5 linked regions of the Coturnix japonica genome follow. The protein of the gene in region 1 interacts with the protein of each later gene in a pairwise test. Links are inferred from orthologs where the notes say so. Each region holds a gene or a part of one and is shown in the gene's direction. Other genes may lie near its edges. The genes, in order: SAT1, KCNA4, DIPK1B, CCDC148 and CASP7.

Region 1 (4,103 bases):
GCTGGACCTGGTTTTGGTAGCTGAGAAGGCTGAGAGGGGATCTCATAACTGTTTATAAATACCTAAAGTGTGAGAGTCATGTTGATGGGGCAAACTCTTTTTGGTAGTGAGCAGCAATAGAACAAGGGGCAATGCAGCTGGAACTCAAAGAGTTCTGTACTAACATGAGGAAGATCACAGAATCACAGAATTGTAGGGGTTGGAAGGGACCTCTAGAGATCATCGAGTCCAACCCCCCTGCCAAAGCAGGCTCCCTACACCACGTCACACAGGTAGGCATCCAGGCGGGTCTTGAATATCTCCAGAGAAGGAGACTCCACCACCTCCCTGGGCAGCCTGTTCCAGTGCTCCGTCACCCTCACTGTAAAGAAGTTCACTTCGTCACTGTGAGGATGATAGAGCCCTGGGACTGGCTGCTCAGAGAGCCTGTGGAGTTTGTTCTCTGGAGAGATTCAAGGCCCCTGTGGATGCCTTCCTGTGCAACCTGCTATAGGGTTGGACTCCATGATCTCCAGAGTTCCCTTCCAACCCCTACAGTTCTGTGATTATGTGATTTTGTGACTGCCACTTCCTGGTTTTTATATGCATCTGTTCTCTGGACAGCTCCATATTTGTTCTAATGGAGGCTAAACTGGATTTAGGGTGAATTTAAGATGTTAGAGCCTTCCAGGGCTCTAAGCATGTGCCAGATGGTTTTCTTGACCAAACCTGGACACCAGAATACACTTCTCCATCCAATCCTTGGGCAGTATCATGTTCCATACTGGTCCCTGTGTCTAAATGAAGGTGAAACTTCAGCATAGGAAGTTCCACATGAATGTGAGAAATAATTTGTTTACAGTGAGGGTGACGGAGCACTGGAACAGGCTGCCCATGGAGGTGGTGGAGTCTCCTTTTCTGGAGATATTCAAGACCCGCCTGGACGCCTACCTGTGTGACGTGGTGTAGGGAGCCTGCTCTGGCAGGGGGGTTGGACTCAATGATCTCTAGAGGTCCCTTCCAACCCCTACAATTCTGTGAACTTCTTAAGCCATGGTGTGCACTGGAAAACGGTGTGAGTGGCACAGCCGCCCCGAGCCTCACATACAGCAGGGGGGGCCTGTCCTGCTGCGCCTCCCGCCTCCGCCAGAGGGCGCCATGGCGGCCGGCAGTCACGAGACACCGGCGGCAGCTGTTGCTGGCAGGGCGAGGCAAGATTCCGGGGAGGGGCGCTACCATTGGCTGGGGGCGAGAGCTGCGGGCACTCCCATTGGCTGTCGTGCGGGGAGAGGCGGAGCGCGGTCATCTATAAATGGAGGCGGAGGATGCGCAGCCGGCGCAGTTGGCGTTGGATCGGGGTTGTTGTCGGGTGGGAGCCGTCTGCTTGCCGAGCGCCGCCGGGACATGCTCGCAGCCTGACTGACCGCAGGTGGCCGCCGCGCCCGGGACACGAATGAAGAAACAGCTGCTCCTCCTGTTCACACACCGGGGACTCGTCAGCCGAGGGGGCCGCAGGGGGAAACGCCGTCGAAAATGGCTTCGTTCAGTATCCGCGCCGCGCGTCCCGAGGACTGCTCAGACCTGCTGCGACTGATCAAGGTGCGGGACGCCAACGTTAGGCCAAGAGGGATGGGGTGGGGGGGGGTGGGATGGGATGGGGGGGGGGGAGAGAAGGAAAGGCGGCCGAACCCGGGGAAGGCGCAAACAGGGCGTTGCGCAAGGCCGAGGGGGGGAGGGAAGGAGGGAGGAGGGGTGATGGGCCCGGGGGAGGCGGCTGACGTGTTGTGCCGTTCCAGGAACTAGCCAAGTACGAGGACATGGAGGATCAAGTGGTGCTAACCGAGAAAGGTAGGCTTGCAGCGACTGCCCGCCCTGCTGCGGCTCGGTGCCGCCGCCCGCATCTGAAGGGTCCCGTTTGTTTTGCTCTCGTAGAGCTGCTGGAGGATGGATTCGGTGAGCACCCGTTCTACCACTGCCTCGTTGCGGAGGTGCCCAAAGAGCAGTGGTCGGCTGAAGGTGAGATATTGCGCCGCTCGTTTGTTCTTTTTACATAAGAGATGCCTTGTGCTTATTGTGACCTACCTGACTTGAGGTTCCAGCGAGGAGTCGGGGCAGGAGGAACAGGCTAAGCTTAAAAATGGCGATAACGTAGAGCCGTGCTGTTGTGAAGTAGTTGCTAACCTCGGAGATGCTGGATGATCAGGTGTAACAATGTACTTAATGCCAAGTAATTAAATGGCTTTTCTTGTTTGACCCTAACTTAACCTTATGTAATCCTGTTGAATCACATGTTTTCTTTAATTTGTCCCCAATCTTCAGGTTACAGTCTCTAGCTTCGCCATGTACATGGCCCTTCTGTGTACATGGATGGGCGGGGAGGTAACTAAAAGATCCGTTACACAATAAAGTAGATGATCATAATATGAGGTAAGGTCTACAGGGACAAGTGCTATTCCCAAACCTTTACCAAAGACACAGTAGATCAGAAGTTATTGCACGCTTCCTTTAGAGTATGTGCAGAGTATGATGGTAGACATTGCGATTTTCAAGGCTTAGATTTGAATATGTTATTGCAGGAAGAGCTGGTTTCTCTTCCCTGTTGAGTGGTGCAGCTGTACTTGAAGCTGCAGTTCTATGTAGCTTGATTTGTTGGTGCTGAATTCAAAACAGCACAATACAATCAGTGTGCACATATGTCAGCGTATCAGAAATGTATCAGAATGTACCAGTTGTCTTTGAGCATGTCTTCTCTCTACTGAGCAATACATTGGAAGATGAACCTTCTGTAGAGCTTTGTAGCTTGTCGGGGTTGCCAAGCAAGGCAGTGTTGGGGCGGTTACCTAGGCCTTGGACTGCTCTGTATTGCTTTGTATTCCAGAAGGGAAGTGCTGATAAATCAGTAGGGTATGTATTAGTAGAAATAAAGCCTTTTTGTTCACTGCTTATTATAACATTGCTCTTGAGCGTTTCAGGGTGTGAAGAGGGCAGTCTTCCGTTAGGTTGATGCCAGTTTATACTGACGTTTCCAGTTGTGCTTCATTCTTATTCTAACCTTATAGCAAACGGCTGCATGTCACTATCTGTATATTTAAATATGCATGTAAGACTTAATGCAAATCGGTAGCTTCAGACCAGCTAAAGCTGCGTGCTTTGTTTCAGGGCACAGCATCGTGGGCTTTGCTATGTATTACTTCACTTACGATCCATGGATTGGGAAGCTGTTGTATCTTGAAGATTTCTATGTGATGGCTGAATACAGAGGTAAGTACTATGGAATCAGACAAGCTGCTTCCTACAGAGCTACTTTAAAATTGAAATTGTCTTGCTGTTTTTTCCTTAAACTGTATATTTTTGTTGCTTTTTCCCTCAGGACTTGGCATTGGATCAGAAATCCTGAAGAATCTGAGTCAGGTATGTCTGAGTGTTAAGTCTAAATGAACAGCACTGGGGATGCATGATGGAGCAGTAGTCTTGATTTTCTGTTAGCTGCAATCAAGTTTCTCCTTGAGCACTACACAGGATTAGCATTGATGAGTTACTAAAAGAGAAATGACAGAGCTCCAGGCAGCCTTAACCACTGCCTAGAGGCTGAACTGAGAGATAAAGTGAACATCATGACTCGGAGCAATCTGCAGCTGGTGCTGCTTAGCATCAGACCCGCTGACCTGTGTTTGCGTTCCTGCAGGTTGCTGTCAAGTGCCGCTGCAGCAGCATGCACTTCCTAGTGGCAGAGTGGAACGAGCCCTCCATCAGGTTCTACAAGAGAAGGGGCGCCTCCGATCTGTCCACTGAAGAGGGCTGGAGGCTCTTCAAAATCGACAAGGAGTATCTGTTGAAGATGGCAACGGAAGAGTAGTGAGAGAAGATTCCAGCAACTAAACTCTTGCAATGAATATACGCGCTCTCTGAATAAACCCCTTCTTGCTTTCTGTGTTGGTAGTGGAATAAAATAGAGTGGATGGTAGTACTGTGCAACCATGGTCATAGAGTAATTGGTACCGTCAGCTGGAGCGGAGGCATCTCAAGTTGAATACGTGCTTGTATCCATCCTTTTACCAGTGTGAACTTGTAATCTTTGTATATGGAAACTTCATTCTTGTAAGTGGCATTCAAATGTGTACAAT
Region 2 (4,047 bases), on another chromosome or scaffold:
TCTCTTTGAATACTATGAAAATATAAAGCTGAATGAAGTGAGTTGTAGTACTGATCTGTAAATATATAAAATTGTTGTTATTGTTTTGATTTTGAAACAGATAAAAGTGTCTTTTTTGCATTTCACAGTACTTCTGACAAGGCCATTAGGACCTTTTAATATTAATTTGGTTGTTCCTTAAGTCTCCCTTATACAGTTGCACGTCAACCTACCGGCATGAATGAGATGAAGAGTACAAGTGCTGATGGAAGCAGGCAGTAGAGACAGATATAACATGAATTATCTGGCTTCTACCACGAGGGATCTGAAGGGGAACAGCCTGTAGGTTTCTCTGGGCTGTGCAAAAGGAGTAGGCCTGGGCAATGACAAACGTGCCTCACCCACTTGCTGCACCATTCAGTTTGTGTCCCTGTACTAACACCTTAAGGTAAGTGGTTGGAGTGAGTGCTGCTCTTCTTTCATTCTTACTGAAGTCCCAAGTCTTTATTTTGCTTATCTTGCACTAAGGAGAAGCATCTGCACATTTTATTGAGGCAGTGGAATTGTAGCTGTACTATCAGATATAGCCAAGCTGCATTTTCATGGTATCAGTCCATAGGTAGATTTTCCAGATGGGGAAGGAGTATCTGGTTTGCGCACTGCAGGTGTTTCAGCCTGAGGGTAGAGGGAGCAAAGACATGTATCCTTTAGCAAGAGTGTCAAAATGATATTTTAGGTCTTGTCTACAAATATGTGAAGTAGTCCTATTCATGAACTGGGACCTTCTCTTCTGTATATACAGGATTAGGGGTAAATGGTTAAATTGGCTTAGGTGACAAGAGCATATGGCTGCTGAGCAGTGGGAATCGCTCTCTGAAGGTATTAGGAGGACAGAGGTGGAGCCAGCTTAGTGCTTTTTCTCAGATGCTCAATATGTGTTTGTTTTTGCACTTTACAGCCACCTTGACAACCCGTAAGCAAACAAAACTAACAGAAAACAAAAACCCAAAGGGAAAGGGAAAAAAAAGCAAAGAAACCACGACAACCAGAAACCAAAACCTGCAGCACTGCTTTGGGAACGGAGATTTTTGGATGCATTATTCAGCGCTGGAGCGTTAATCTCCGGCATTAACGCTCCCATCCACAGCCGCCTCTGGGCCGGGAGCAGTGCGAGGCGCGGCCGCGAGGGGCCGACCGCGGGCCGGGAGCGATGCGATGGAACGGCCGCGGCCCCACGGCTGCTCCCGGCGGCGCGCAGGCTCGGCGGGCGGCGCCTCCGCGGAGCAACAGGGCTCGCGTCGGCAGCATCGCAGCGGACGGCCGCGCAGCTCCTGCGGTTGCTGGCTGCTGCAGCTTTGCACATCGGGCGGTGGGAGCCTGGTGGGAGAGAGCTGCTGCTTTTTCCTCGGGTGGTTTTCCTTTTTTTTTTTTTAATTTATTTTTTTAATCAATTATTGTTATTTTTATGGGTTTTATAAGCGTTACCAAAAAAACAAAAAAACAAACCGCACAACAAGTGAACGATGCAGGTAGCTGCTGCTGTGTGGATGTGACGGGGAGAAACAGCAAGAAGCAACACTCGTCCTCCCATCAGTGAGTGGAAATAGGCTTGGTACACGGATTACTTAACGTTGCTTTACAAATCTACAGCAGAAGCCGGGCTCGGGAAGCCTAGTGATCACGCTCATCCATTCATTCCTTTTCTCTCTCACACACGAACACTCTCACATCCTCCCCTTCCCCCTCCTCCCCCTTTTTTTTTTCGTTCTTTTATCGTTTTGGAACAAGGCTGTTGCTTATTGCCTTTTTGCAATCGCCTGGGTGAGAAGCTGCGGTTGTGCAGAGTGCCCCCAGCTTAAGCTGCCTCCTTGGCTCGTTCTCGGCTCTCTTGTTGCACAGGGAAAGCAGAGAGAAAAATAACTCGTCAACCTGTGGTGCCGACCGACCTACCCACCCACCTGCAGGCGTGGGTCAATTGGCGCAGCCCCCTGCTCAGGACTGCTGTCACCAGATCCTTACACTGGCAAGAACAGCACTGCTATTTGTCTGCCTATGAACAGTAAGTATTGCAGCAATCCTAAGACCCTTTTTTTGCACGACGTATGGGTATGATTTAAAAAGAAATAGCGGTCATTTAATTGTCTGTATTCACCTTCTTTCATATATTAATAGATACAGCTGTAGATGAGGGTTCTGTTTCAGAGGGGTGTGTGTATGTGAATTCTTGTATGTGTCTGCATGTAGATGTTGCTTCAGTGCACCTGCAGTAGTTTGACACACCATATCACGGTGTTTTCACTTGAGTGAGCATTGTACCTGCCTGTTTCTAAATTAAATTCAGTGAGATGTTTGTTAGGGTTGAAAATTCAGTTACCAATTAAAATATAACATTCTTAAGTCTGTTGTTTTTAGCAATACTATGAAACGCTCTTTGTTTAAATGCTTTTCTTATGATATTTCATGTAGATATATGTAGGTGTGCCTATTACGTATGCAGTCAAATCTCTGAATGCATAGGGTTTTACAGTATTTTATTGGTGTTTATGTGTGTTTCAGAAGCATGCGTTTGTGTATGGATGCAAGTGCTTGTATGGGTGGGGATTTTGTATAGCTGTCTATATATATATGACATACCCACCCACAACCTTATGAACAGAGTCGTTCACATTCTCTGTGCATGTGATGTGGGTGTGTGTGTAATGTAGAAGTGTGAATAGTGTGGGAAGGGGAAGATTAGAATACCGTGGTAATAGATGACACAGTTTCATTTGAGCAGTGTGACCTTTGAGGAAAACAATCCAATCTTCTCCCTTTTTGTTTTGTTTATTTTTGTGTGTTTGTGCATGTGCCTCAGGTTAAGTGCTTCTTCTGCATGACCATAACCAAAGGGTGACCCATCCACTCCCTTATGTCCTATGGGGACCTCAGAACCAATTTCTCAGTCTTCATCTCCTCCTCCTCCTCTTACCACTGCTGCTGACGCCCTGGGTGCTGCTCCCAGGTTTGAAACATTGTTGACAGGCTGAAGAAAGGATTTGCAAAGACCTCCTCACTGTGTAAATAGAGTGATGGCTGGAATTAGTTTCAACTCCCCAAATCATGATATTAAACAATAATAAGATTGCTAGGCCAAAGCATTACCAGGAACAAATTGTGAGGAAAGAGACTATTTGCATTTGGTTGCAATGATGAACTAAAATCATCTATGGAGAGCAGGTACCCTTTGTTTTGCATGTTTTTGTCTTCATGAATGTAGTCATGAATCTGATCAGATCAGTGGTAGATATGGGAAATAAATGAAAATAAAAGGGTTCAGTGGATGAAAGAATAAAGCCTCCGCTGTTCCTTGGTCTAGTTTGAGAGTTTCATCTTTTCTTATTAGTAAAATTATAGGTGGGTTTTTTTCCCTTTTTTTCCTTTTTTTCATTTCCCCCCTTCCCCTCCCCCCCCACAAGAGTTTTAGACAGTAAGAAAATGTAGATCTGTGGTTTCCCAAAATACAGATTCAGTGTTGCAACTATGTTGCCCCGCTCTGGGTCCAATGCACTGTCCTCCAAATGCAAATAGCTTTAAACTTTCTATGGTGAAAGTTAAGGTTGCACTGTAAATAAAACGAAAGCTCTTGCACTAAGCAACAAAAAAGCTGTTGCAAAATGGAGGTTGCAATGGTGAGTGCAGATAGCTCTGGCTGCAACAGCCATATGCCCTATGGATATGCAGCCCAAGCTCGGGCCAGAGAGAGAGAGCGGCTGGCACAGTCAAGAGCTGCAGCAGCTGCAGCTGTAGCAGCAGCAACTGCAGCAGTAGAAGGGGGGGCAACAGGTGGAGGTGGACCATATCACCACTATCACCAGGAACAGAGTCGAGGTGCTTCTTCCTCACATGGTGGGAATGCATCTCGCAGCAGCCTGCCTAACCGCCAGAGTGGTAAGAGATGGAAGAAAGGGAGAAAGAGGAGCCACCACTTGGGAAGCAGGGAGTGTGGAGCCTCTTTCCCCTGTTCTGAGCTGCTTCCTCTCAGTGGTTCTGAAGAGAGAATACTGAAAGACGTGAGTGAGGAGGAAGAGG
Region 3 (4,254 bases), on another chromosome or scaffold:
AAAACCAGTCCAACAAAACCCACAACAAATCCACACGGGGTACATAACACTTTGCCTCTCTGCATTTCCCCTCTCATTAATTAACGCCTCTTAAAGGCTCCGGATATAAAATCTCTCATAGTCACCACCTGTCACAGAGGATCAATGGAACAGCATCAGTGAGATGCAGAGGCAAACAGCCCCTGTGCAGCTCCCTGCAGGAGCCATCGCTGGGAGCAGCACCACTGGGTTCATCATCACCCCTCCCCACTGCTTGCTATTTCCCCCCTTGAGCTGGCAAGGCAGCAAACCTGCTCTCAGCTTTATCAAGGACTAGATTATAACTATCCCAATTGATCTGATACGTAAAGGACACCAGGGCTTCTCCAGCCAGCTGTCTGCACTGGAAGAGCTCCCAGGGCTGCATAGGGTCTTATTAATCCCTTGATGCATAAAACCAACACCAATTAGCCCCAATGAGCCCAATCAGCTGTATGGTGTGGGGGAGAGGCCCCAAAGCTTTGTGGGGGGCACAGGAAGGAGCATTAGAGCCTGGAACCCTCAGCCATGAGCCTGGGACATGGATGGGGGTGGGCACCATGGGGATGTCCCACTGCCCCCCCTCATAAGATCCAGCCAACACCTGCAGCATTGCTATCACTCGTTTGATTGAATTAATTAATCATTTGGTTCTAACTGCTCATTAAGCATCCCAGCAATCAATACTAATCACTTAATTACTTGGCATATCACAGCTGGCGAAGGTCTGCTCGTTCCTAATTAGATTCTTTGGACGATCCACCCCCGGCCATCGCAGCGACACTCAGAGCAGTTCAGCCCCATCCCTCACCCTGCGCCCACCCTGGGCAGCCCCCCCATGTGCCGTTAATTGCCTCCACGCGGTGCCGTCCATCCCCGCACAACGATGCCGAGCACCCCAAGTGTTTTCGGGGCTCATCCGGAGCCGAAGTCCAATGGGGTGATCTGAAGAGAAAGGGACAAGTGGATAATGCGAGGAGCTACGAATAGCGACTGAGGAGCTTTAGAAGCAGCTTTGTGCGGAGCCATCCCGGAGCGCTCCCCGTCCTGTTTCTCTCTCTGTCCACCCGGCTCCTGCCCCGCACAGAACAGGCTGATCCGGCCGCGTTCTCCCGCACAAAGCAGCCCCTGTTTGGCTGGAGGTTTCCCAAACGCAACACTCGGAGCGCTGCTGCTGCTGCTGCTGCTGCTCGGCTTTGGCGTTCAGAAGGCGCAGCAGCGTTACGCGCAGAGCTCCGCAGCTCCTCGGGATCGGGAGCGGCACCCCCGGAACGCAGCGGGGTCAGTGCGGGGCTGAGGGGCGGCTGATGAGCGGGCACAGCCGAACAACGGCACCGGGCATCCTCAGCTTCTTCCCCCCCCCCCGCCCCCAATTCTCCTCCCCCCCGAGCTGCGGCGGAGCTGCGTGCACCGCCCCGCGCCGGGCGGAGCCGAGCCGGGCCGAGCCGATCGGAGCCGAACCGGGCCGAGAGCGCTGCGGCTGTGGACGGGCGGAGCGGCTCGGCCCCCCGCCCCTACCCCGACCCCCGGAGCGAGGCGGGGGCCGCAGCCATGCCCCCCGGTGATTGAGGCCCGCGGGGTGCCCGCAGCATGAGGAGGGTCCGGCGCTTGGTGCACCTGGTGCTGTTCTGCCCCATTTCCAAGGGCCTGCAGGTATCGCCCGGGGGTTGATCCGGGCCGGGAGGTTTGGGGGGGGGGGGGGCGGGATATGGGGCTGGATATGGGGGGGATTCGGGTCGGGAGAGGCTCCGTGCTGCCCATCCCCGCACAAAGGGATGCTTCGTAGCGCTGTGCGGGTGCTGAGGATAGCGATGGGATGGGGACCGGAGTGACGGGGGACCGAGCATCCACGCTGGTTGCATAACGCGCAGCTCGCAGCACCGCCAACATGTCGATGTGTGCATCCGTCTGTCCATCCATCCGCCCACCCATCCACTCCCCGTACATGTACAGCGGTGCAGCAGCATGGCTGACTTCCACCCTTTGCTTTTTTTTTCCCTGTTCTTTTATTTGCTTTTCCATCCTCAGCCCATGAGGCCGGGGGGGGGGTGGGGGCACTGAGGGGCTGGGACTGGTTGGGAGCTGAGATCTGTGGCTCTGCTCTGTCACCCTCCAAGTCCAAGGGCCTGAGGAGTGGCTGCATGGGGTTGGGGTCTTGCAGGGAGGGCCAAGCTGGTGGCATTGGGGCAAGGGCACGCGGGGGTGGTGACACTGTCCATATTGCCTTTGGTGGCAGCTGTGGACCCAAATCACTGCCACATCCCTTGGAGTCATCCTAAAACTAAAGACAGGGTAACAGATGCCCTCTGGCTCTGGGAAGGGCACCCCTGTGTCCTGGGAGGGGGGAAGGGAGAGGAATGCAGCATCAGACAAAGATCCACAATGTGCCCTGAACCCAATGGAGCCTCACTGCGGTGCATCCCAAACCTTCATGCTCCTTTCCACCATTTTGATGGATAATGAAATACCCCGTATGCTGTGCTCAGGTTTTAGCCTTGACCTCATGTCTGCTCAGGAACGTGATGGATCCTTGATCTGAATGAGCCCAAAGGGGCGTTTTAGCTGCCCAAGGCTTCGTCACTCCATGCTGGGGAAGAGATCCAGGAGCAGCAGTGGAACCAGACCCGCTGGTTCAGACCAGAGGTGCCTCTCCATCAGTACAGTGCACACTGCTGACGGCTGTGGGGGCTGCTGTGCTGTGAGGGTCTCACAATGTATCAGCCTCCAGTGCTTCAGGCTGCCTTTGGCTTTGATGCAACACAGCCCTGTGGGAAAATCCAGACATCCTTTATTTTTACCCAGCCCTCATGGAGGATTCTCTTGGAATAGGCGTGAATTAGCGGTGGGATTGATGGGCACAGGGGGCACTGTGAGTCCATTCATGCTTCAGTATTCCCAATTATGGTCCATCACCCACATGAGAGGTGCAAGGAGGGTCAGGTGGGCACTGAAGTTTTGCAGAGTGCTTTGCTGGGGAGTGGCTGTAATCTCTGCTTTTAGGGAATTTTAAGTGACCTACTTGCAGCAGGAGTTGCATAATAGACAGAAAAAAGGCTGAAGGTTCCATCAATGGATTTGTTTGGAAAAGTCCAATTCTTGACAGCACCGATGAGCTGAGCACCACTGTGTTCACTCACTGTGTCTTCCTTCCCTTGCAGAACCGCCTTCCAGGCATCAAGGTGAAGTACCTGCTGGTGGTGTGGCTGGGCATCTTCGTGGGCAGCTGGGTGGCCTACATGCATTACTCATCCTACTCTGAGCTCTGCCGTGGCCACGTCTGCCGGATGATAATCGTGAGTGATGGCGTGGGGAAAGGGTGAGCTGTGCCACCGGGAGCAGCTGTGGTTGCAGTGCTGGGGCTGCGTTGTGCTGGCTCCATCCCCAGCATCACGCTGAGCTCGCAGGCTGGGGAGGTGACCTTAATTCTGGCAGGGCGATGGCAAACTCACCTAATAGATGTCAGAGGGAAGCAGGCCAGGGAGACCCTGCACAGGAGCCCAGCTGGGGATGGTGGCCAAGCAGAGCTCCTTAGTACTGCTGCAGGTCTGCCCAGCCTGGCAGGGAGGGAGCAGAACAGCGAGGCTCTGCCTGGAAACACCTTGTTCATCAACCCTTCTGCAGAGCAGGGAGGCAGGAATTGCCATAACAACAGCAGCAATCGTTTAATTTGATTTTCTGCATGACTCCGACCGTGGGGTCTCGGGTGCTAATTCCTGCTCTGAGCTTGGTGTTTAAGGCACCGTGTCCAGCTGTGGCCCGTGTAGGCAGGTCTGAGGGTTAATTCCTATCCACACTGAATAAAAAACAAACCATAATGAAAGGCAATAGATGCTGTGAATTTCTGTAGCGCCTGTTTCCAGCCTGAGGCTGCTGAGCCCGCGCTGCTGACTGCAGAGCTGCAGCCTCTCCCACTCCTGGATGCTTCCAGCTCACCGAGCGAGCTGCCCTGCCTGTGGACCAGAGCCATGGCATGAACAGGGGCCAACCCATCTCATAGCACAGGCTGCTGCTCTGCTGAGAGCCTCCGCGCATCCTCACCATCACCCGGCTCCTGCTGGAGATGCCTGTTGCTTGGCAGTGGCTTTGCAATCAGATGCGCCCCTTTTAAAGAGGGGTTTTCTCTTGTATGAGGTTTGCATGAAATCAGAGGAAACAGGCTCACCATGGATGCAATGGCATTCATGAGAAACCACTCTCTGCTTTCCCTCCCCAGTGCGACCAGTACAAGAAAGGAAT
Region 4 (4,302 bases), on another chromosome or scaffold:
TAGCATGGCATCAGGCATGTGCTGTACTGAAGGCAGGCATGCTGCTGTAATGGTTTCACGGTGAAGGACTGCAGTTCTATAGGAACTAATTGTATCCTCACATGCTTAGCCTGTTCTGGAGCACAACGTGTTTTTAAGCCTCTGCAGAGCTGATTGTAAGAGTTGGATCCGAGTAGCACAGCGATTCTGATCTGATGTGTCAGGCTTTCCTGGGAAAGGAGAAGGCTTGATGTGTGTGAGCTGGCTGACTGTTCCAAGTGGGAGAGACAGCCTGGGCAAACTCAGAGTGTTCCTAATGGATGCAGTCGGATACCAAAGAATGTTCTGCCCTTAGCCTGAATTCTTTCTATTTTTAATTTTAAATTGAGCGATTGGGCTTATAAAATAATTATTAAATATATACATATACCCCAGACTCACTGCTGCGTTCTGGTCTCACCAGATAAGCGTGGATGCCAGATAGCCAGGGCTGCTGAGCAGTGGAGGTAGTGCTGCAAGTAAAGCCTCAGGATTATTTGTGCTGTGCTCTGCTTGTTCCTTTGGAGAAGGTTTTTAATTCATGAGTTTTCTTGCTTCTTGGAAGGGATCGGTTTCTTTAAATGGAAAGGGTTACAGGGAACAGTTGTGCTGCCATACACAGATGTCAAAGAACATTTCTTCTTGGCAAAGAAAATGGAAAAAAGTGAGTAATGGTGCTATAAAGCTTAAGGCTTGCTAGAGAGGAGCTAGGGCTGTAGAAATGAAGTCTGAAAGGCTAAGCAACTTACAAGAAATATGTAAAGGGAAAGGAACTCTTTGCATTTGTCAGGAGTTCTGATGAGAGCATCAGGCAAGTTTTCAATAGGAAAGTAACAACTTTAAAGTGGGACTTGACCGGTTTTCCTGTTTGTGTGTGTGCTGTTCTACAGGGTGAAGTTTAGAGAAGCGCTGCTCGAAAAGCGGATCCTGGAGAGAAAGGAAGAGGCCCTTCGAGAAGCACGTGCAGCACAAGAGAAAGAGAAATGCCTGGAAGCGCTCCGACAAAAGGTGCTTCTATTTCTTATGTGTGGTATTTGCAGATGCAGTAGAGACAGAAACGCATACTGACATATTATGAGGAAGTTAAAACAAAATGTTACGCCACAAGCAAATAAATGAAGAGGCTGAAATGCACTTTAGGTCTGACGTTAATGTTAATTCTGTCATGCTATAAATCTTATGTGCTTTGTAACCAACAAGAATATTAAGAAGTTAAAGTGGACTATGATGTCCAGAAATATGGACGTGGCTAAACTGAGCCTGCTGACTGCTTCTGGTTATGGGTTGTGAACATCAGAGCTCGTGTTGATCTGTGCTAGAGCTGCAGATGCTGGCACTTCTGCTGTACCACCCCTGAGGTCTCCTTTGCAACCATGGCCACGCACTGTCCTTATGACACGGAGCAGCGGTGCATCTCCTCAGGAGGGGCTGTCCTCTGGTCACCTGGAGCTCAACATAAGCTTATTTCCCTGCAGCATTTGTGAGGTAGCAACATGAGCTCTCTCTTTACAGAAATGCCATTCATCTTTCACGTTTATTTCATTTAGTAAGTACTGGCATTGGCATTCACAGTGTGCGGGTTGCTCTGTGTGCAGCCTGCCCATGTAGCAGGCAGTTCTCCAGGCTGTGGCAGCCCTGCGCTTACCAGGCATGCACGGTGCTATATAAAGTCTAGGCAACTGAATTGTCTCCATCAGGAATTTCATTGCATCAAAGTGGTTTCCACTGTTCGTTCTGAGATAGTTTTCCTGCATTCACATCTTGTATCTTCCCCTCTGTTCTGTGTTACAGCACTTGGCGGTTGCTGGCAGGGCCTGGCTGTGCTGCTGGGATCATTTGGAGAGCCTTGAGCTGTGCTGGGGAGGGGTCTGCAGAGGGGCAGTGTGTGTGCTCAGGGCTCTGTGTGCACTCACAGGGTGCCCTGAGGGGATGCACGGACTCTAGGCTCAACTTTTTGGCTCTACAGTACTTATATATGGATGCAGATTGGCTTCAGGTTCTAAACCATGTCAGTGATTGTATTTTCAAGGGACACATGTTACTGATAGCACCACAGGCCTACGCAGACTGTAATGGCTGTTTTCATATCACGTACTTCAGGTTTCCATTGTAGCAAAACCAGATCCAGCAAGAATGGTGGCTGATACTGCAGCGTCTAAAGCTCGGATGGGCATTGGGACCACAGGAGAGTTTGTTCTTCAAAAGCCTCTGTTTCAGTTGCAAACATACAGTGAAGAGCAGGTAATAGTCTGTCACTGTACTGCGTGGTTTGTTGTATGCAGTCATACTGTGAGAGCAATACATGATGATGATTGCACAGCTGAAATGGTAATGTTAATAGCAGAACATGGAGTATAATGGATGTGACTAAAAAAACTAGAAACCTCAGGAGCAATGGGTGGAGCCAGCTCCGTGCCCAGGAGTCTGCAGTGCTGCAGCACACAGACACAGTGCCCCAGGGGCTGCGGTGCTGTCCCTGAGCTGCATCTCCCACCATGGAGCATGCAGGACCAGGCGGCCGCTGGGTGCTGGCTGCTTGCTGAGTGCTTTGCTATTGCTCCAGTTCAAAACTCACTCCTTTCATGCCTCTGCACGCTCACTTTAAAAAGTGCCTCCTATTCACCTGCTCCTGCTGGTGTTGTGCTGAGTATCTGAAGTGAAGTTAAAATCCTCCTTACTGCATGGAGGACCAGTGCCACAGATAACTTCATGGTGGGGTATCCTTTTCATTTTGGAATCTTATTATGCATCTCTTCATAAACTGAAAGTTAGAATGGTGGCTACCTGCTCGCTGTTGCTGAACTGAAAATCAGATGGGATGTTGGATGTGAGGGCTAAAGGAGAAGCCAGTCAGCGCTAAGCAGTGAAGTAGTTCTCAGGTCGCCCGCTCTGCTGAGTGCTAGCTCTATTTCAACTGAAGTTAAACAACAAAGGGAGGGATTTTCTGTTTCCTTTACTGCTCTCCATCTGTCAGAGTGTGCATTTGAAACTGAGAAGCTTTAAAATGTCATAAAAAGGGAAGTGCCGGACAAGCATGGTATCAGACATCATTACATTTCAGCTTATTCAATGCTAAAATAAAGCTTTTATGCCATGGAACTACATAATAGCATTTTTCTTTCTGTCAGTATCATTTCCAGATTCCAGAATGGGAATGATTTCTAATGCAAAGGTCTATGTTTGGCTAAGAAAATTCACCCAGATCCACTGGGTGTTGTGAGGTTTGGAAAAGCCTGGCTTTCAGGGTGCTCTGAAGAGGTGCATGTGAGGCTGATACGTGAGACTTATCACCCTTTAAAAAGGGTGATATTAAAATACATGTAGTGAGTTATTCATCATTGAGCTTCTTCGCTTCCAAAGTCTCTGTTTTATGACCAAAACATTTTTAATCACCCTTTGAACTCTTTTGTTATAAACATATAGAATGTATGTATTTGCACATACATTCACAAATGGCCTTTAGGTGCATCTTTACTCACAGTGTAAATGAGGAAAGTATGGTTTTGTTTCATCGTCGCTGTGGTTTATTTTGACAGATCATTTCTGACCCCAGGCTTCGTGTCGAGGCAGCCCTTCGAGAAGCTGGGCTTCATAAAACACTTTATGCAAAAGAGATTTTACCAAAGATTCCTCCACCGAAGCTTCCCAGAAGAGATATGGAATCTACAGTGTTTAAAATGTAGAGCACGTTGTGTATCGAGCAGAGAAGCTCCAGGGCTGTAGTCTGGGCCGTAACAGTGGAGCTTACAATAAATTTCCCATTGCTGTGTCTTGGAACTGCTCTGTTGTCACGGTGTGCAGTCATTTAAGAAAAGGATGCGCCTTTCCTGTAGTGTTTGGTACCACATTTGGCACCCGCCTGGTGCCTGGGTGAAGGCTCTGAGGAGGTTTGGTGGGGGTGGGCTGCTCTAGAGCTCCCCGTGCTGCAGGATTCCCCGTGTTTCTTCCCAGCAGAAGAGCCAGGGATGGGAAAGACCTCTGCAAACATTGCTGGTCAATTTGATGCATAGCAAAGGTCGGAATTCTGGATTCCAATTGGCAATGTAGAACCCAAAGGCTTCACAGTGGCTTAGATTATGTTGTGCTACATGGAGACATCCCACATAACTTTCATGCCAGGTTGCCTGAGAATTTGGTTCTTTTAATTATAAGATCTTCCTGTTATTCCTTGATGACTGTAAGAAGGAACTTAACCTTTGTCCATGTTTAGAAACCGATTTGCTGTGTCGTGTTTACTGGAAACCAATCATGGAAGCCATTCTGTGCTGACAGTCTTTCAGGATG
Region 5 (3,962 bases), on another chromosome or scaffold:
AAAGCGTATTTGGATGTTCACGAACCAGTGCCAGTCATTGCTGTTTATGCCATAATCCTGATCAAAGGACTGGGGTTGTTTAGCTTGGAGAAGAGAAAGCTCATGGGAGATGGTGGTGGTGAGGCACTGGCAGAGGCTGCCCAGAGCTGTGCATGCCCCATCCCTAGAGGCATCAGGGTCAGGTTGGTTGGAGCCCTGGGCAGCATGGCTGGTGGGGGGTAAACATGCCGATGGCAGGGGGTTTGGAACTCAATGTTCTTTCCAACCTAAGCCATTCTATGGTTCTACAACTCTCTCCCACCTCACCTCTCCACACATTTACTTGAAGATCCATTACATTTCTAGTTCCTCTGTTGTCCTTAAAGATCTATTACAGATTTGGAAATGGAGCTGGCTTCTAGAAAAGAAGCAGCTAACAGATGGCGTGAGAGGAGCCATGGGACTCTGTTAGAGCTTAATTTTCAGCAGCAAGCTTTGGCTCTGTCTCCAACCAGGAGCTACAGGCATAATCCCACAGAGCGGAGCTCGGCCCTGCAGCAGCACACAGAAGCTTGGCGAGAGCCATGCGCAGCTCAGACACTGCTCGCTCACATCGAAGCGGTGACCTGTCGAGAAGCAAAAGGCTGTTTGTTACAAAGCCTGTGTTTTGTGCCAATTATGAGGCAGTTACACTGAAAAATGTCGCTTTGATGTGAATCTCTTCAGGTAGCGAATGTTAAACACCGCACGCCGCTGGGTAGGTGTGTGATTTTGCAGGATCGGAGCCCGTATCCAGGAGTAATTAGCAAGACTGTGCCAATCTCCAGCCCATGCACTGAACTGCTGGGTCCGATGCAACGGCTACACAGTGGGGTATCACAATTAGCGGAGATGCAACACAGTGAATAATTGGAAAGATAAGGAAATGCCACTGAAGTTTATATAAGGGAAAAAATTTCCTTAGATCTAGACAATCTCGTGTCACCATGAAACTTCAGGTTCCTCTTTCGAGGGGGTGTGTCGGAACGTTGCTGTTAAAAAGCAGCAATTTTCTCATCTTTGGGATGAAGATGAAAGAAGGGGGACACTAAGCCCCACAGCCCCGGGACAGCCGGCACGCCCGGCCACCGGGCGGAGCGCACCGGGACAAGGACAGACCCCGCCCCGCTCTCTGCCCGCAGGCCCCACCTTCTGCTTTCGCTTTTGCTTTCGCTTCCGTCTCTCCGGAGCCCAGCGTTAAGGCAAGCCCCGCTGCCAGTCCCCTGCCCTTCGGGTCCCTCGGGCTTTGCTCTATTCCGCCCCGCTCCCTCCCACTGTCCCCCTACCTCGCGCTGCAGAGGGCTGGAAGCGGTCCGACCCTTCGCGTGGCTGCACAGCCATTTCCTTGTATTATTTGCAATCGATGGCGCTGATTTCCTCCACCTGCGTAGGTGGGACCGCTTCGCTGGGGCATCTTCTCCTTCTGCCCGTGGCCTGCACACTTTCCTTCCTTCCTGTGTTGCAACTTCATTTCCAAGAAGCACTTGCTTTTTTCCTAAGGACTGTACGCTGTTGATATAGACCAAACAGAAATTGAAAATTAAGATCATATCCTTGGAAGATGATAGAGTTCCTTTTAAGCCTATTTGCATGTATCTACTTCCTTCCAAACGCACTTCTTTCCAGATAATGAAGAATCTTCTGGCAATTAGTTGTAAGATCATAACGTGACTTTTACTTCTGTTCTTATCTGCCTTGTTTGGAGTAGTGTCAGACTTTTTGGCATTCACCACAAGGCAGAACAGAGATGGCCACGCATGTATCGTACCACTTTAATGCAGCACCAGAAATCTATAGCCGCTCTTGGTTAAGGACCACAGGACATAAACTGGCAACCCCATGCGTCCATTTAACAGCTTTATTTAGGAAATACTGAAATAATAGCACTCACTGAGAGATGCTTACGTTCTTGTACTTGATTTATAGATGTCAGGAGATCAGTGTGCTGATCGTTCCTCTGAAGAGAGAAGTAATGGAGATCAAGATGATATAGTTGATGCGAAACCAGACAGGAGTAGCAGACTCTCACTTTTTGCAAAGTAAGTTACTACATCCATTTCTGTTTTTCTTTTTGTCAGCTGTGATACTGCCCTTCAAATGGGATTGCAGTGTTCAGTTTGCCATGCCCAGAGCATCAAAGAGTGTCTGATAGGCACTCAGTGTTGTATAAGTTCTAACATATTTAATCTGTACCCTAAAGCTGAACAGCCCTTGCATTGCTCTGATTTAGAGACCCATAATATCTCCCATCAGCTTACTTGGTAGTCAAGAGACCACTAAGTTCATTTAGTGTCAGTTGTAGCCCCTCATCTTAAACATTGCCCTTTCGTGGAGCTGGGAATGAAATATGCCATTAATTATCTATTTTACTGCATTCAGCTCAGCTAATCTCTCACATCGTTGGAATCCCCTGCTGACTATTTAAGTTAGTTTAAAGCCTGGATGCACCATCTAGACCGTAGCACAAAGAAGCCTCACTGAGTCTAGAGATGTAACCCATTACAGAATAAATTAAAAGCCTTTCATTTTAGCCTAGTAGACTCACTGAAGCATAATTTTACTTTCATTAAATGTACAGGCAGCAAGAACAATGTGCTCATTGTCTGTAAAACACTAGATGAATGTGGCTGAAAATGCAACAGCTAAACAACGAACATGCAAAATTAACAAATGCTGTTGAAGATCAGAAAATACTAATTAATGGGGTAAACTTACAATATGTTAGTACAGGTGTTTATTACAAATACTTGTATTTACAGAGGTTTAATTTTTTATTGTTGGACATGTATTGTTCACTTCAGTGTGGATAATTCAGAGGAAGCACTTGAAGAATATCATTTCATCTTTGTAGTGTATTATAGGGATGTGATGGGTGTAACATCTGGGAGATATGTGAGAGAAGTGAAGCTGCCTTTGTCTTACATGACTTTTGGTGTGCCCTAAAGCAAAGCACAGAATTTTTTTTGTCTATCATTTTCCTATTCCTCAAATGCATTTTCAGATGTGTATTTTTAACTATCACAAATGCACATGATACAAGACAGACAACATAACATTTGTTTCTAAAACTTCAAGCATTTTTCCAAGTTTTCTTTTAAAATTTATAAGATGTATGTCTTAAAATATGACATCTTCTAAAGAAGTGATATGCTAATGTCGTTACTCAATTATGCAACTCCAAGTTGATTATTCCTGAAGGAAAAGCAAGAATCAGCATTTCTATCGCTTTGTTTTTTTTTTTAAATATAAGAAAAATTTCAAGTAATTTGGCTGTTCATCAGTTTGAGACATTCATCTTTTGGGAAATCCTTGAAGATACAAGTTTGAAACCTCTTTTGCTAGAAATAAAAAGGAACTCATAAAATAAAGACAGAATAAAAGATTGAATAGGAAAAGTTTGAGATTTTTCAATAGAGGTTTTGTAGGAAATTATTGAGTCTGAAATAATCTATCAGGGCTGCTTGGCAAAAGTTATGTTAGCCTGAAGTGGAATGAGATGTTAAAAATCCAAGTACACTGATAAGGTCATTATCTTATAGATACTCTCTGGCCTGCAGGAATATAGAAAAGGAATGTGAGAGGATAAAGGAAGACGGTTTATGACCAAAACCAGTGGCAGTCACAAAGGAGAAAGTGGATGGTGAATGATTGCTCATCGAGCCTCACAAAAAAAAATACAAGGGACATCCAATGAAAAGTTTATAGAGTGAGATTAAAACAATCAGTCAGACACAATTTTCCCCATAGTACAGAACACAGATGTAAAATTTTAGTCACAGGATATACATATGTTGATACTTAGATGAATTCAGAAAAACCCAGATGAGTATGTGGAAGAAAAATTCGCTGGGAATATTAACATTAAAACCTTTGATATGAGATGTCCCTAAATCAGATTTCTGTGAGAGTATATTCTGGACTGAATTTCTTTAATTTGTTCTTTT

What was found.
Region 2: the proteins of SAT1 (region 1) and KCNA4 interact in binary tests that used the Homo sapiens proteins (3 or more experiments, as listed by UniProt). The link is inferred for Coturnix japonica from reciprocal best matches to the Homo sapiens genes SAT1 and KCNA4.
Region 3: the proteins of SAT1 (region 1) and DIPK1B interact in binary tests that used the Homo sapiens proteins (3 or more experiments, as listed by UniProt). The two-hybrid records come from large-scale screens. The link is inferred for Coturnix japonica from reciprocal best matches to the Homo sapiens genes SAT1 and DIPK1B.
Region 4: the proteins of SAT1 (region 1) and CCDC148 interact in binary tests that used the Homo sapiens proteins (3 or more experiments, as listed by UniProt). The two-hybrid records come from large-scale screens. The link is inferred for Coturnix japonica from reciprocal best matches to the Homo sapiens genes SAT1 and CCDC148.
Region 5: the proteins of SAT1 (region 1) and CASP7 interact in binary tests that used the Homo sapiens proteins (3 or more experiments, as listed by UniProt). The two-hybrid records come from large-scale screens. The link is inferred for Coturnix japonica from reciprocal best matches to the Homo sapiens genes SAT1 and CASP7.

The regions. Positions count from the first base shown.
Region 1 is NC_029516.1:107,414,827-107,418,929, forward strand, and holds the start of SAT1 (diamine acetyltransferase 1), read left to right. Parts: upstream 1-1,298; 5' UTR 1,299-1,512; coding exon 1,513-1,578; intron 1,579-1,775; coding exon 1,776-1,995; intron 1,996-3,138; coding exon 3,139-3,240; intron 3,241-3,349; coding exon 3,350-3,390; intron 3,391-3,664; coding exon 3,665-3,835; 3' UTR 3,836-4,103. UniProt on the Homo sapiens protein: Enzyme which catalyzes the acetylation of polyamines. Substrate specificity: norspermidine = spermidine >> spermine > N(1)-acetylspermine. This highly regulated enzyme allows a fine attenuation of the intracellular concentration of polyamines.
Region 2 is NC_029520.1:5,295,397-5,299,443, forward strand, and holds the start of KCNA4 (potassium voltage-gated channel subfamily A member 4), read left to right. Parts: upstream 1-1,243; 5' UTR 1,244-2,038; intron 2,039-2,833; 5' UTR 2,834-3,632; coding exon 3,633-4,047. UniProt on the Homo sapiens protein: Voltage-gated potassium channel that mediates transmembrane potassium transport in excitable membranes. Forms tetrameric potassium-selective channels through which potassium ions pass in accordance with their electrochemical gradient.
Region 3 is NC_029532.1:6,229,806-6,234,059, reverse strand, and holds the start of DIPK1B (divergent protein kinase domain 1B), read left to right. Parts: upstream 1-1,452; 5' UTR 1,453-1,608; coding exon 1,609-1,671; intron 1,672-3,176; coding exon 3,177-3,311; intron 3,312-4,231; coding exon 4,232-4,254.
Region 4 is NC_029522.1:33,155,828-33,160,129, reverse strand, and holds the end of CCDC148 (coiled-coil domain-containing protein 148), read left to right. Parts: intron 1-908; coding exon 909-1,026; intron 1,027-2,118; coding exon 2,119-2,259; intron 2,260-3,554; coding exon 3,555-3,701; 3' UTR 3,702-3,795; downstream 3,796-4,302.
Region 5 is NC_029521.1:24,406,381-24,410,342, forward strand, and holds the start of CASP7 (caspase-7), read left to right. Parts: upstream 1-1,159; 5' UTR 1,160-1,220; intron 1,221-1,304; exon of another isoform or gene 1,305-1,527; intron 1,528-1,944; coding exon 1,945-2,057; intron 2,058-3,962. UniProt on the Homo sapiens protein: Thiol protease involved in different programmed cell death processes, such as apoptosis, pyroptosis or granzyme-mediated programmed cell death, by proteolytically cleaving target proteins.